Arabidopsis thaliana: one gene and its partner. The protein of the gene in region 2 interacts with the protein of the main gene of each other region in a biochemical or structural test. Each region holds a gene or a part of one and is shown on either strand. Other genes may lie near its edges.

Region 1 (4,941 bases), on a different chromosome or scaffold from region 2:
AACTACCACCAATAATGATTAATCTCATTGTAGGAACACTCGAATCTTTAATTTTCACGATAAATCTTTTAACCATTGAATCTCTATGAATTTGTTAAGAAAATAATATAATTAAGACTTTGAGAGGACTCGATCTAAATCTAAGAGTAAACCTAGAAACTTGTATAAAAATGGATATTCTTACCATTTAAATGTTAAAGCATCCTTAGTGACAGTGTCCAGCTATGATTTAAATTGTAATGAAGAAACTTAGAAACCTTAATCCCTCAAGTATCATGGTAAACAAAACATTTTAATAAACTAAACCTTTTATTTTGTTATTATTGCAGTATTTTTAACCTAAAGAAATGGGATTATAATGAAGAAAGATTCCCCACTCGCGTTTCACGTCACAAGCCGATCGTGTAGCAATTGTCGTTATTGGATCTGAGCTTCTCGATTAAAAATTGACGCAGTAATTGGATCTAATAAGAGCATGAGGTTAAAATATGAATTATTTGAGATATGAGGAAATGAACAAATTATACCCACTTGTGTTCTTTTATGTTGAACAATCTTCTGGTTTGTCAACTACCTGTTGAACCATTTCTAAAAAAACATTGTTTCTGTTCGATTTAAATGTGGGGGAAAAAAAATAAAATACATGAAATATAATCTTAGAATCTAAGGAAACTTATTATTGGGCAATAAATAAGAATTTGCTGAAAAGTTTTAGGGGCATCTTTTGGAACTCTCAAGTTTCAAACAATGGTGAGTCTAATTTTAAATAATTGTTTGGTGTGTTTAGTAAAAAAATAAAATAAAATTAATACACATGACCAATTTACGTATTTGTTATTAGGGAAATTTTTTAAAGGTTTATACAATTTTGGAATGTTTAGTTATTTTTAAAAACTTAAAAGATTTTTTTTTATTGATTTTGGTAAATGACAAAAACTTTCACTAAAAATTTGAAAACAGAATGTTTGACGGATGCTAACAAGCTTTTAGAAAGTATTATTTCGACCATAAAATTGGATGAACACTGGATGTAAATGGAATTGATAACAAAAGAAATCGAGATATAAAATATCTATTGTTATGTCTTCATTCAGCTTATAAGATTTATCATCTATTGGCAATCCGAAAAGATGCAAAACTCTTTGTGATATGGTATGCGCTAATGTTCATTTAATGCCTCAAGTTTCACCCATTAGAACACAAGAAGAAACTTCCGAAGATGCTGCATGATGACGAAAACATACGCTTAGGACGATGTTTTCCAAACCGCATAAATAAAACAGAAAATTATAGTTTGGTGGCACGCATATGGGATTGTCCTTCTAACAAAAATGTGCATTCACAATAGTTCTTACTTAGAATTGCTAAACTGAAAAACTCGTGTGAAAACTTAAGCTAAATATGTAAAATCCATAAATTTATGCATAGAGGTAAACATCAATTTTTTTTATCATCAAGTAAAAGGCACATGACAGATTCATGAGAATAGATGAAAGATAAGAATGTTGAATTTTAATAATTTAAATTGATGTGTTTAATAATTTAAAGAATCAAAAAGGAATTTTTTTGGTAAATATATATAAAAATTTCTATAGACAATTATTTAGAAAATCAAAATATAAAGTAAACATGTAGGAAATATACAATAACATGTATCAATAAAAATTTGGTTGCCCTAAAAAGCCTAAAATTATTAACAGCTCGCGAGAGCATTCTTGATGTAAACATATGTCTTCCATTTTGGAGAAAACAAAAAAAAATACATTGAAATAATTGAAATTCCCTCAAAATAAAAAAAATAAAAAAAAGTATTCAACTTTTTATTTGACCCTCTCTCTCCTCTTCCCTCTTTTCATGGTAGACCCAATTCTCTCTCTCTCTTAACAACACTCTCTCCTCTCTCTCCCTCTCTCTATCTATCCCCATTTCCATGGAAGCAAGCAGATGTGTTCTTACATCTCTTTCTCTCTCTACAGCCTTACATGAACAGTGACTGTTCTCTCTCTTTCCCTCTCCTTCCTTTTTTCTTCTACTTCTCCTTCCCTTTGCTTCGAAAAGGGTATCTCGTGATCTTTATCGCTCAAAAATCTTCACTTTCAGGTAACGATTTATTGGGTCTCTCTCTCTCTCTCTCTCTCTCTCTAAAGCTCTGTTCTTTTTATTTCTTCTTTTTCTGGGTTTTATTCTCTGATTCTTGCTAGATCCAAAAGTTCTTTATTTTGCCTCTTCTTCTTCTTTACTTTAACGAGATCTGTTTTTACCCTTAAAGACTCAAAATAAAAATCCAAACTTTTTGCATGAAGAGCTTTAATTGATTTGTCACTTAGATTTGATATTTCAATTTGGGTAAAATTTTGTGCATCTACTTAAACTTTCATCTGTAGTAAGATCCGTGATTGTTGTTTCTGAGTCTTCTCAATCCAGCTTTAAACTGATGCTATTGTTTTGTTTTGATGACTATAGATCAGGCCACTCGTTGATGGAATCTGTGACAGTATTGATTACTAGAGAGTAAAGACAAGTTCTTTAAATCTCAGGGAAGAAGGAATTGGTGTTTAAGATTGCTCTGTGTTAATGATGGCTTCAAAAACTCCAGAAGGATCACTTACCAATTCCAGTCAAAGTATGTCAATCAACACTTTAGCAGATCAAGTATCTTCGAGTTTGTCTTTCGCTGATCCAAGTAGTGATGGCAAAACCGGTAATAGTAAGATCAACGAGCAAGGTGAGAGTGGAAAGAGTAGCACTTGTAGACCAAGTACAAGCAGTGATATAAGCGATGAGAGCACTTGTAGCAGCTTTAGTAGCAGTATCAACAAACCTCACAAGGCTAATGATGTGAGATGGGAAGCTATTCAAGCTGTTAGAACTAAACATGGTGGTTTGGGTTTGAATCATTTTAGGCTCTTGAAGAGGTTAGGATGTGGAGATATTGGAACTGTTCATCTTGCTGAGTTGAATGGAACTAGGTGTTATTTTGCGATGAAGGTTATGGATAAAACTGCTTTGGCTAGCCGGAAAAAGCTTCTTAGGGCTCAAACTGAAAGAGAGATATTGCAGTGTCTTGATCACCCGTTTCTTCCGACTTTGTATAGTCATTTTGAGACAGAGAAGTTCTCTTGTTTGGTGATGGAGTTTTGTCCTGGTGGTGATTTGCATACACTAAGGCAGAGACAACCCGGGAAACGCTTCACCGAGCAAGCAGCTAAGTAAGAAACTTTTTCTAAACTTTCTTTATCTAAGAATCTAGTTTTGTGCGTTTATATAACCTTAGTGACTTGCTGTTTTGCAGGTTTTATGTCGCGGAAGTGCTTCTTGCAATGGAATATTTACACATGCTTGGGATCATTTACCGTGATCTGAAACCCGAGAACGTTCTTGTGAGAGATGATGGGCACGTGATGCTTTCGGATTTTGATCTCTCCCTGAGATGTACTGTGAGCCTCTCTATAGTCAGATCAGCTAATGTTGGATCCGAAGGCTTGTCGAAGAATTCGGTTTCTTGCTCGCAACAACCTGCATGCATCCAGCAACCATCTTGCATCTCAATGGCTCCAACATCTTGCTTCGGTCCTCGGTTCTTCTCATCGAAATCCAAGAAAGACAAGAAACCGAAAACCGAAAACGGGAACCACCAAGTAACTCCGTTACCAGAACTCGTTGCAGAGCCCACAGGCGCCCGTTCTATGTCTTTTGTTGGCACACACGAGTACTTAGCTCCAGAGATCATCAAAGGTGAAGGACATGGAAGTGCAGTTGATTGGTGGACCTTTGGGATCTTTCTTTATGAACTATTGTTTGGTAAAACACCGTTTAAAGGGTCAGGAAATCGAGCAACGCTCTTCAACGTGGTTGGTCAGCCTCTTAGATTCCCTGAATCTCCGGTTGTTAGCTTCGCAGCTAGGGATTTGATAAGGAGTTTGCTTGTGAAGGAGCCACAACATAGATTAGCTTATAAGCGTGGAGCAACAGAGATAAAGCAACATCCTTTCTTTGAAGGAGTGAATTGGGCTCTGGTTCGATGTGCCAGTCCACCGGAGATTCCTAAACCGGTTGATCTTGAAGCTTTGAATCCTACTCCTACTGTGCCAGCAGCCGCATCTTCGAGTGTAAGATCTGATCAGAGTAATTATCTTGAGTTTGATTTCTTCTGAAGAAACTGTTTCCACAGTTGATGATTCTCATTATTGTTTCTTTGCAAATTCTGTTTAGTGTTTTCTACAAATGTGTTTCTTTTTTTTTCTTCTTTTTAATTTTCACGTCTTGGAAAAAGTTATGAGATTTGTAATCATTCTTCAAAGTTGTGAGACAGTCTCTGTACCATCTTCTTGAGTTTAATGTTAGACACGAACCATTGAGAATCCATTAATCCACCATATCAAAACCTCAAAAGTTCCTTGCTTTTCATTGATCTGAACTCTAAACCAAATTGACTAAACCCGTAATTACTTACAAATGGATATATAATAATCATATGTTATCAACAAGCAGTTCTTACTTAAGAGTTAAAACCCTCTTCTAACTCTGTACAGACGAAGAGGAAACAACTAATCTAAAGACTGAGATAATTACCATTGCATAGAAGCTAAATATAAAACACATAGCTTCATTTCAATTGTTTATAGCAGTTATAAGCAATAGCCACAGATGCAGCAGCACAAGCAACAGCTAAAGCAGCATATGTATCTTCTCTCTCCCAAGTCTCCAACCACATTGACATCACCGCACAAACCTTGAATCCACCAGAAGATCCATTCTCGCTGCTTCCTATCCGAAGAGATGCATTTTTTACAGAGGTTACTCTCTCCGAGGTATTTTTCTCTGTGTGAATCTCCTCCAGACAGTAAGAGGAGTTCCCATTTTGTTGGCAACCACTACCGTTCAGCTCTGGGACAGCTCGAGACTGGCAACAGATACTATTATTAACTGATTCTTGAGTCA
Region 2 (6,282 bases):
TTAAAGACCAAAGTCTTGATGGATGATGAAGTAGACTTGAAAATTGATGAAACCCGTTATTGTGTTGTTGTGTTACAAATCCCATCTATGATCGTTGATCTCATAGATGATCATTGATCATTTTTCTCATTTTTCTATGATGAAGTAGACTTTTTCCGGAAGGCTTATGAGAAAAAAATACTATTCTTGTTTTGTAAACATATGTGTTCAATAAAGAATCTATTTTCATTTGCAATCATTCGGATTAATTAAAGTGATTGCTGGATGAATGTTTTGAATCTCTTTTTACCATTTCGCTACAAAAATAAAAAAATTGCGAATTTCGCATCCAGATATATACTAGTATTAAGCATGGGAGATTATTCACTCCTCGAACACATCCTATGACTATGAGTTACACAAATCAAAATTTTTACATTCCAACGTTGATGATCCTTTGGATTTGGTATTTTTCCATGTCATACTATTGTAACTTTGTTTGTAATTTCTTTCTGGTCAATATTACTCTATTGTGGATGCAAGATCGCATAACTAGTCCTCCATCGAATCAAACATGATCACAATTTTAAGAATCAAACTGGACTTTTATATACCGAAATAAAGTTACAAAGATTTCGCTGAGATGTTCTTACTTCTTAGAGCTAGATGAGTAAGTAATATTAGGGATTTTCTAGTGTACAATTGATGCCTCTATACATTACTCTCCATCAGATTTATAGGACTTGACCTCGTCTGCTTCTCTGATATTTCCCAGAAATCTCGCTCCTTTTAGTTTCTGCTTGAATCTATCAAATCCTAGTGATTTTGCGACCACCTACTTCTTTATTCTTTCCTTTTTGTTGGTTATGTCCAAACTGATTTAAGAGTATCCACATTGGTTATTTTTATGAGTGTTTTTAGATGGCTATTTTTAAATATAAAAGAGTAAAACAAATAAAAAATATGAGGGTCATTAAAATGAAAATTATATCTTCCTAAAACATTTAAGACATCTATACCTTTAATATTATTTTATATGAAATACATCTATGAAAAATTATTCGATGAGGATGGTCTAATGAGTCGGAGAGTCTCAGACCAACATCTATCTATAACTATTTTTTTTTTCACTGGAAATATAGATTTCATTGATAGAAGATCTGAGTACAAGAGCTGACAAGAGAAACACTCTTCTAAAAGCCGGAGAGTACATGGGACCTTCCAGGAACTAAAAACATATTTAAATGAAACAAAGGGGAAAAAAACCGATCTAACAAATTACATCACATCTGATCAAGTACTTCCCAGACCCAAAATCCAAGAGTTCAAACGAAATATACAAAGTCTAAAACAACAATGATAAACTGATAGATCTGAGACTAGAAGCCTCACTTAACTCAACCTAAACACGAATGGGCGATGAGATAAAACCATCATCCAGAGACCCAAAGGAGTGAGAGCCTCATGAAGGAGAGAACGAGATCGGGATCTTCAGGTGGAATTTCAGAAGTCTGAGGCGAAAATTTGGATAGAAACGCTTCTGCCTTGGATGGATCGGCCAGATCTGACTCTGTTCTTGAAAAAGACAAAAGACAAACAGCAAAAACCTAAAAAGAAAAAGTTTTAGACTTTAAATATCTAGATCTGAAAATTCAGATTCACAACCGTTGGAAAAAAATCTCTCAGATGTGTCTAAAGAAAAAAGATAGAATAAGAGCAAAACAAAAGACTTCGGTTCCGGTGCTGAGAAAGCCACCGGAACCGGTAACCCTAAACGCAGGCGGCGGCTGAAGTTTTAGAGATAAGGGAGAGTAAAATTTTAAGAGTGAGAAAATGACGAGATGTGAGCTTGTAAATACTTTTTGTAATATAAGTAACTATAAGTAATATTTTTTTTGTAATACCTCAAATTTTATTTTTAATGATATTTACAAGTTTAACAAAACAAAAACAAAAAACAAAATATTATTCTAGTCATAGCAAGTGAGAATTTTTGAAAAGGGAATAAATGTGTGTAATTAATTCAACGGTCCAACAGTGGCTTGGACCTAACACTAATGACATTTGTTCTTCTTGTAATTTTTATGTGGCTGTCTTCTTGTACCAAGTACGTAGACAATAGTTTGATTCTATTTGGAATCAAAACTCAAATTACATTTACAAGAAAAACGATCACAGATACAGTAATTCGTAGTATTCGCCAAAGTTCCTTTTGCAACTTTCAAAAAGTGCAAAAACAAGACCACTTTTTCGTAATAAGATAGTAGCAAAAAAGCACGACTATTCCATAAAACTGTCCACGTCCCTCCAGAAAACTCCCCCCACATGCGATTTGCCACGTGTCCCCACTCAACTACACACAAAGCCATTTTAAATCAAATTATTAATCAAACTTAAAAAACGTAATCGTGTGCTGATGATGATGATGACACTGTCACTGCCTCAAAAACCTCTATAAATTAGTCCTCTTCACCGAATCCTTGTAAATCATTACTGTACTTTTCTCTCTTAACGGTTTCTTTATTATTCTTCCCATTCTACCCCTCTTCTTCCTTCTAATTCCCCCTCAAATGCCACTGTCTTCTCACTAAACTCCAAAACCCACCGGAAAAAATGATTACGTGGCACGACTTGTACACCGTCCTCACCGCCGTGGTACCACTTTACGTAGCTATGATTCTCGCCTACGGATCCGTACAGTGGTGGAAGATATTCTCACCAGACCAGTGCTCCGGCATCAACCGCTTCGTCGCTATCTTCGCCGTCCCTCTCCTCTCCTTCCACTTCATCTCCACCAACGATCCTTACGCCATGAATTTCCGCTTCGTCGCCGCCGACACGCTTCAAAAAATCATCATGCTCGTCTTACTTGCTCTATGGGCTAACCTAACCAAGAACGGTAGCTTGGAGTGGATGATCACAATCTTCTCTCTCAGCACTCTCCCAAACACTCTTGTCATGGGGATCCCTCTGTTGATCGCCATGTACGGAACCTACGCAGGTTCTCTAATGGTCCAAGTCGTTGTTCTTCAGTGTATCATTTGGTACACTCTCCTTCTCTTCCTCTTCGAGTACCGTGGCGCTAAGCTTCTTATTATGGAGCAGTTCCCGGAGACTGGTGCGTCTATTGTTTCGTTTAAAGTTGAATCCGACGTCGTTTCTCTCGACGGTCATGATTTTCTTGAGACGGATGCTGAGATAGGAAACGACGGGAAGCTTCATGTTACCGTGAGGAAATCAAACGCATCGAGACGGTCACTGATGATGACTCCACGGCCTTCGAATCTTACCGGAGCTGAGATCTATAGTCTTAGTTCGACTCCGAGAGGTTCTAACTTTAACCATTCTGATTTTTACTCTGTTATGGGGTTTCCCGGCGGGAGGCTTTCGAATTTTGGTCCGGCGGATTTGTACTCCGTTCAATCTTCTCGTGGTCCGACTCCACGGCCTTCGAACTTCGAAGAGAACAACGCCGTTAAATATGGATTTTACAATAACACTAACAGTTCTGTTCCGGCGGCCGGTTCGTACCCGGCTCCGAACCCGGAGTTTTCAACCGGTACGGGTGTTTCAACTAAACCGAATAAAATTCCTAAAGAAAACCAACAGCAACTGCAAGAGAAAGATAGCAAAGCGAGCCATGACGCTAAGGAGCTTCACATGTTTGTTTGGAGCTCAAGCGCTTCTCCGGTCTCCGACGTGTTTGGCGGAGGTGCAGGCGACAACGTGGCAACGGAACAATCTGAACAAGGTGCTAAGGAGATTCGGATGGTTGTCTCTGATCAACCTCGAAAGAGTAATGCTAGAGGTTCTTTTTTTTTTTTTTTTTTGTCATCAAATATTATTTAGCTAAAATTGCGGAAAATTGTTTACATAAATAATATGCTAGAGGTTTGTTGGTTTAATTTTATTATTATTCGAATACTATTATTTTTGTATGTATTCATGATTTTTGGTTTTCTCAGGTGGTGGTGATGATATCGGCGGTCTTGATAGTGGAGAGGGAGAAAGAGAGATAGAGAAAGCTACAGCAGGGCTGAATAAAATGGGGTCTAATTCCACGGCGGAGCTAGAGGCGGCTGGTGGAGATGGCGGCGGCAACAACGGAACACATATGCCGCCGACAAGTGTGATGACACGACTGATATTGATAATGGTGTGGAGAAAGCTGATCAGAAACCCAAACACGTACTCCAGTCTAATCGGTCTCATATGGGCTCTTGTTGCTTACCGGTCAGTGAGTCCAATCATTTTCTTACTTACAGATTTTATGGATAAATGTTATAATAAGAAAAGGAAATAATATAATCATCTATGCATGGAATAATTGTAGTGGGAACTAATAATGAGTATGGGTTGTTTTTGGAAGCAGGTGGCATGTGGCTATGCCCAAAATATTACAACAATCCATCTCCATACTCTCAGATGCTGGTCTTGGAATGGCTATGTTCAGCTTAGGTAAACACTAACCTTGCTTCATGCAAATCTAGACTTGTTTTGATGATGATCTAATCTTTAAAGTTGGGTTCAAATTTGTTCTCATCTTATCTGTTAAAAAAGATTCATTTAATGCAAAGTGGGTCTGTGTGTTTAATTAGTCGTAGTTGTCCAGCTTGTAATTGGTAAAAGTCATATAAACTGTACAAAGCACTTACCCAAAGAGAGAATCCTGACCCTCTGACCCAGACATGTTGGTGTGTCCGGTCCCCACGCCGAGTCCCCACTGGCTCTGTCTACTTATTTGGGTCTCACCAAGTAGATGACCTAACTCTTTGCTGTCAATTTTCTCAAATCCTTTTAGTTAATGAATTGCTTATTTTTGGTGTAATTTTAAGGTTTATTCATGGCACTTCAACCCAAAATCATTGCTTGTGGGAACTCTGTCGCCACGTTTGCCATGGCGGTCAGATTTATAACCGGTCCGGCCATCATGGCTGTTGCTGGGATTGCCATTGGCTTACACGGCGACCTTCTCCGTATAGCCATCGTTCAGGTATACAAATTTATAACGTTACATGATATAGCTAGGTCTATTATAAATATTACATGATCACGATGATGATGTTGATGAATGCATGAATTATTAGGCTGCGTTGCCTCAAGGAATAGTTCCGTTTGTGTTTGCAAAAGAGTACAATGTGCATCCCACGATTCTAAGCACTGGGTAAGTTCCAAACTTATTTTATGTTACAGCCACATTTTTATTTTTGTTACAAACTTACAATATATTAACAAATGTGTGAATGATGGTGAAAAATATGGATGCAGGGTCATATTTGGAATGTTAATAGCCTTACCTATAACTCTGGTCTACTATATTCTTCTTGGCCTTTGAATTGGTCCCTTCAGTATCAACTGGCTTTTGAGAGAGCCTCGGAGATTGGGCTATTTATTTCTCGGTAACGAGGAAATAAGCAAAGCCTTTATTTTTCGTGGGAAAGAGTGGAAGGTGAAGAAGAAGATATGCCTTTGGTTTTTGGTTCCAATATTTGTGGAACACAACAAAAGTACTTAGGATTTAGTGAACAAGACTTGAATGGATTAAGGATCTTGTCTTCATTAGACGCCAAGAAGAAAAAATCTCTCTTCCTTACCTTTATTTTTTCATTTTCTGTTTTTGTTAATTTATGTGTAGATTTTGGCTAAGCAGATATGTAATATGCACCTTTTTTTATTAATTGAAGTTTCTAGTTAAGTGGTTTATACTGAAACTAGCTTATGAGTTGGATTGAAATAGTCCTATACTATATATATACACCCTCGTACTGATTTATTTTTTCCACAAATACCATTAATATTAATTCATCGGGAAGAGATTCTCCGCTAGAGAGAGCCATTCATGAACCATTATGCTTACATAGGAGAAAATATTATTTCTACCCCGAGCTTTTTTAGCTAAACAATCAGTTCGAGTGTTAAAACTACGAGAAAAAAATCTAATACGGAAAGAAAGGAAAAAACAAACTAAGGAGCGATAGGATGCCAATTCCGCTGCGAATGTCGGTCAATCGTCTTGATTGTCAATGATAGAAATCAGGTCTGAACAGTCAGAAGCAAAAGTTTCAAAAGACAGTAATTTTATTTTATTACAGTTAATTTAAGCATATTCCTTGATAACAAACACTGTTTTACGACAGAAGCAAAATCCTAATCTCTAATTAATTAATCCTATGATCATACGATGCATGTTTACGGTCCCGTTTTTTTAAGAATACACGATCTCTAGCAGAAAAAAATCTCAAAAAGTTTATGTTAACTTCAAATTCTGTGAACTTCCGCACATGAATCTAAAGACCACCCTTT

Evidence for each region. Proteins that work in one complex are often made in the same cells at the same time.
Region 1: of the proteins of PIN4 (region 2) and D6PK, one has a biochemical effect on the other in vitro, tested with the Arabidopsis thaliana proteins (one study listed by BioGRID).

Annotation. Positions count from the first base shown.
Region 1 is NC_003076.8:22,639,268-22,644,208, reverse strand, and holds D6PK (D6 protein kinase), read left to right. Parts: upstream 1-1,794; 5' UTR 1,795-2,100; exon of another isoform or gene 2,101-2,346; intron 2,347-2,463; 5' UTR 2,464-2,574; coding exon 2,575-3,209; intron 3,210-3,292; coding exon 3,293-4,154; 3' UTR 4,155-4,396; downstream 4,397-4,941. Other genes in the region: AT5G55900 (Sucrase/ferredoxin-like family protein), read right to left, coding at 4,607-4,941.
Region 2 is NC_003071.7:179,510-185,791, reverse strand, and holds PIN4 (Auxin efflux carrier family protein), read left to right. Parts: upstream 1-2,027; 5' UTR 2,028-2,592; coding exon 2,593-3,787; intron 3,788-3,944; coding exon 3,945-4,212; intron 4,213-4,351; coding exon 4,352-4,437; coding exon of another isoform or gene 4,438-4,448; exon of another isoform or gene 4,449-4,814; coding exon 4,815-4,972; intron 4,973-5,066; coding exon 5,067-5,143; intron 5,144-5,247; coding exon 5,248-5,314; 3' UTR 5,315-5,759; downstream 5,760-6,282. UniProt on the Arabidopsis thaliana protein: Acts as a component of the auxin efflux carrier. Plays a role in generating a sink for auxin into columella cells. Maintains the endogenous auxin gradient, which is essential for correct root patterning.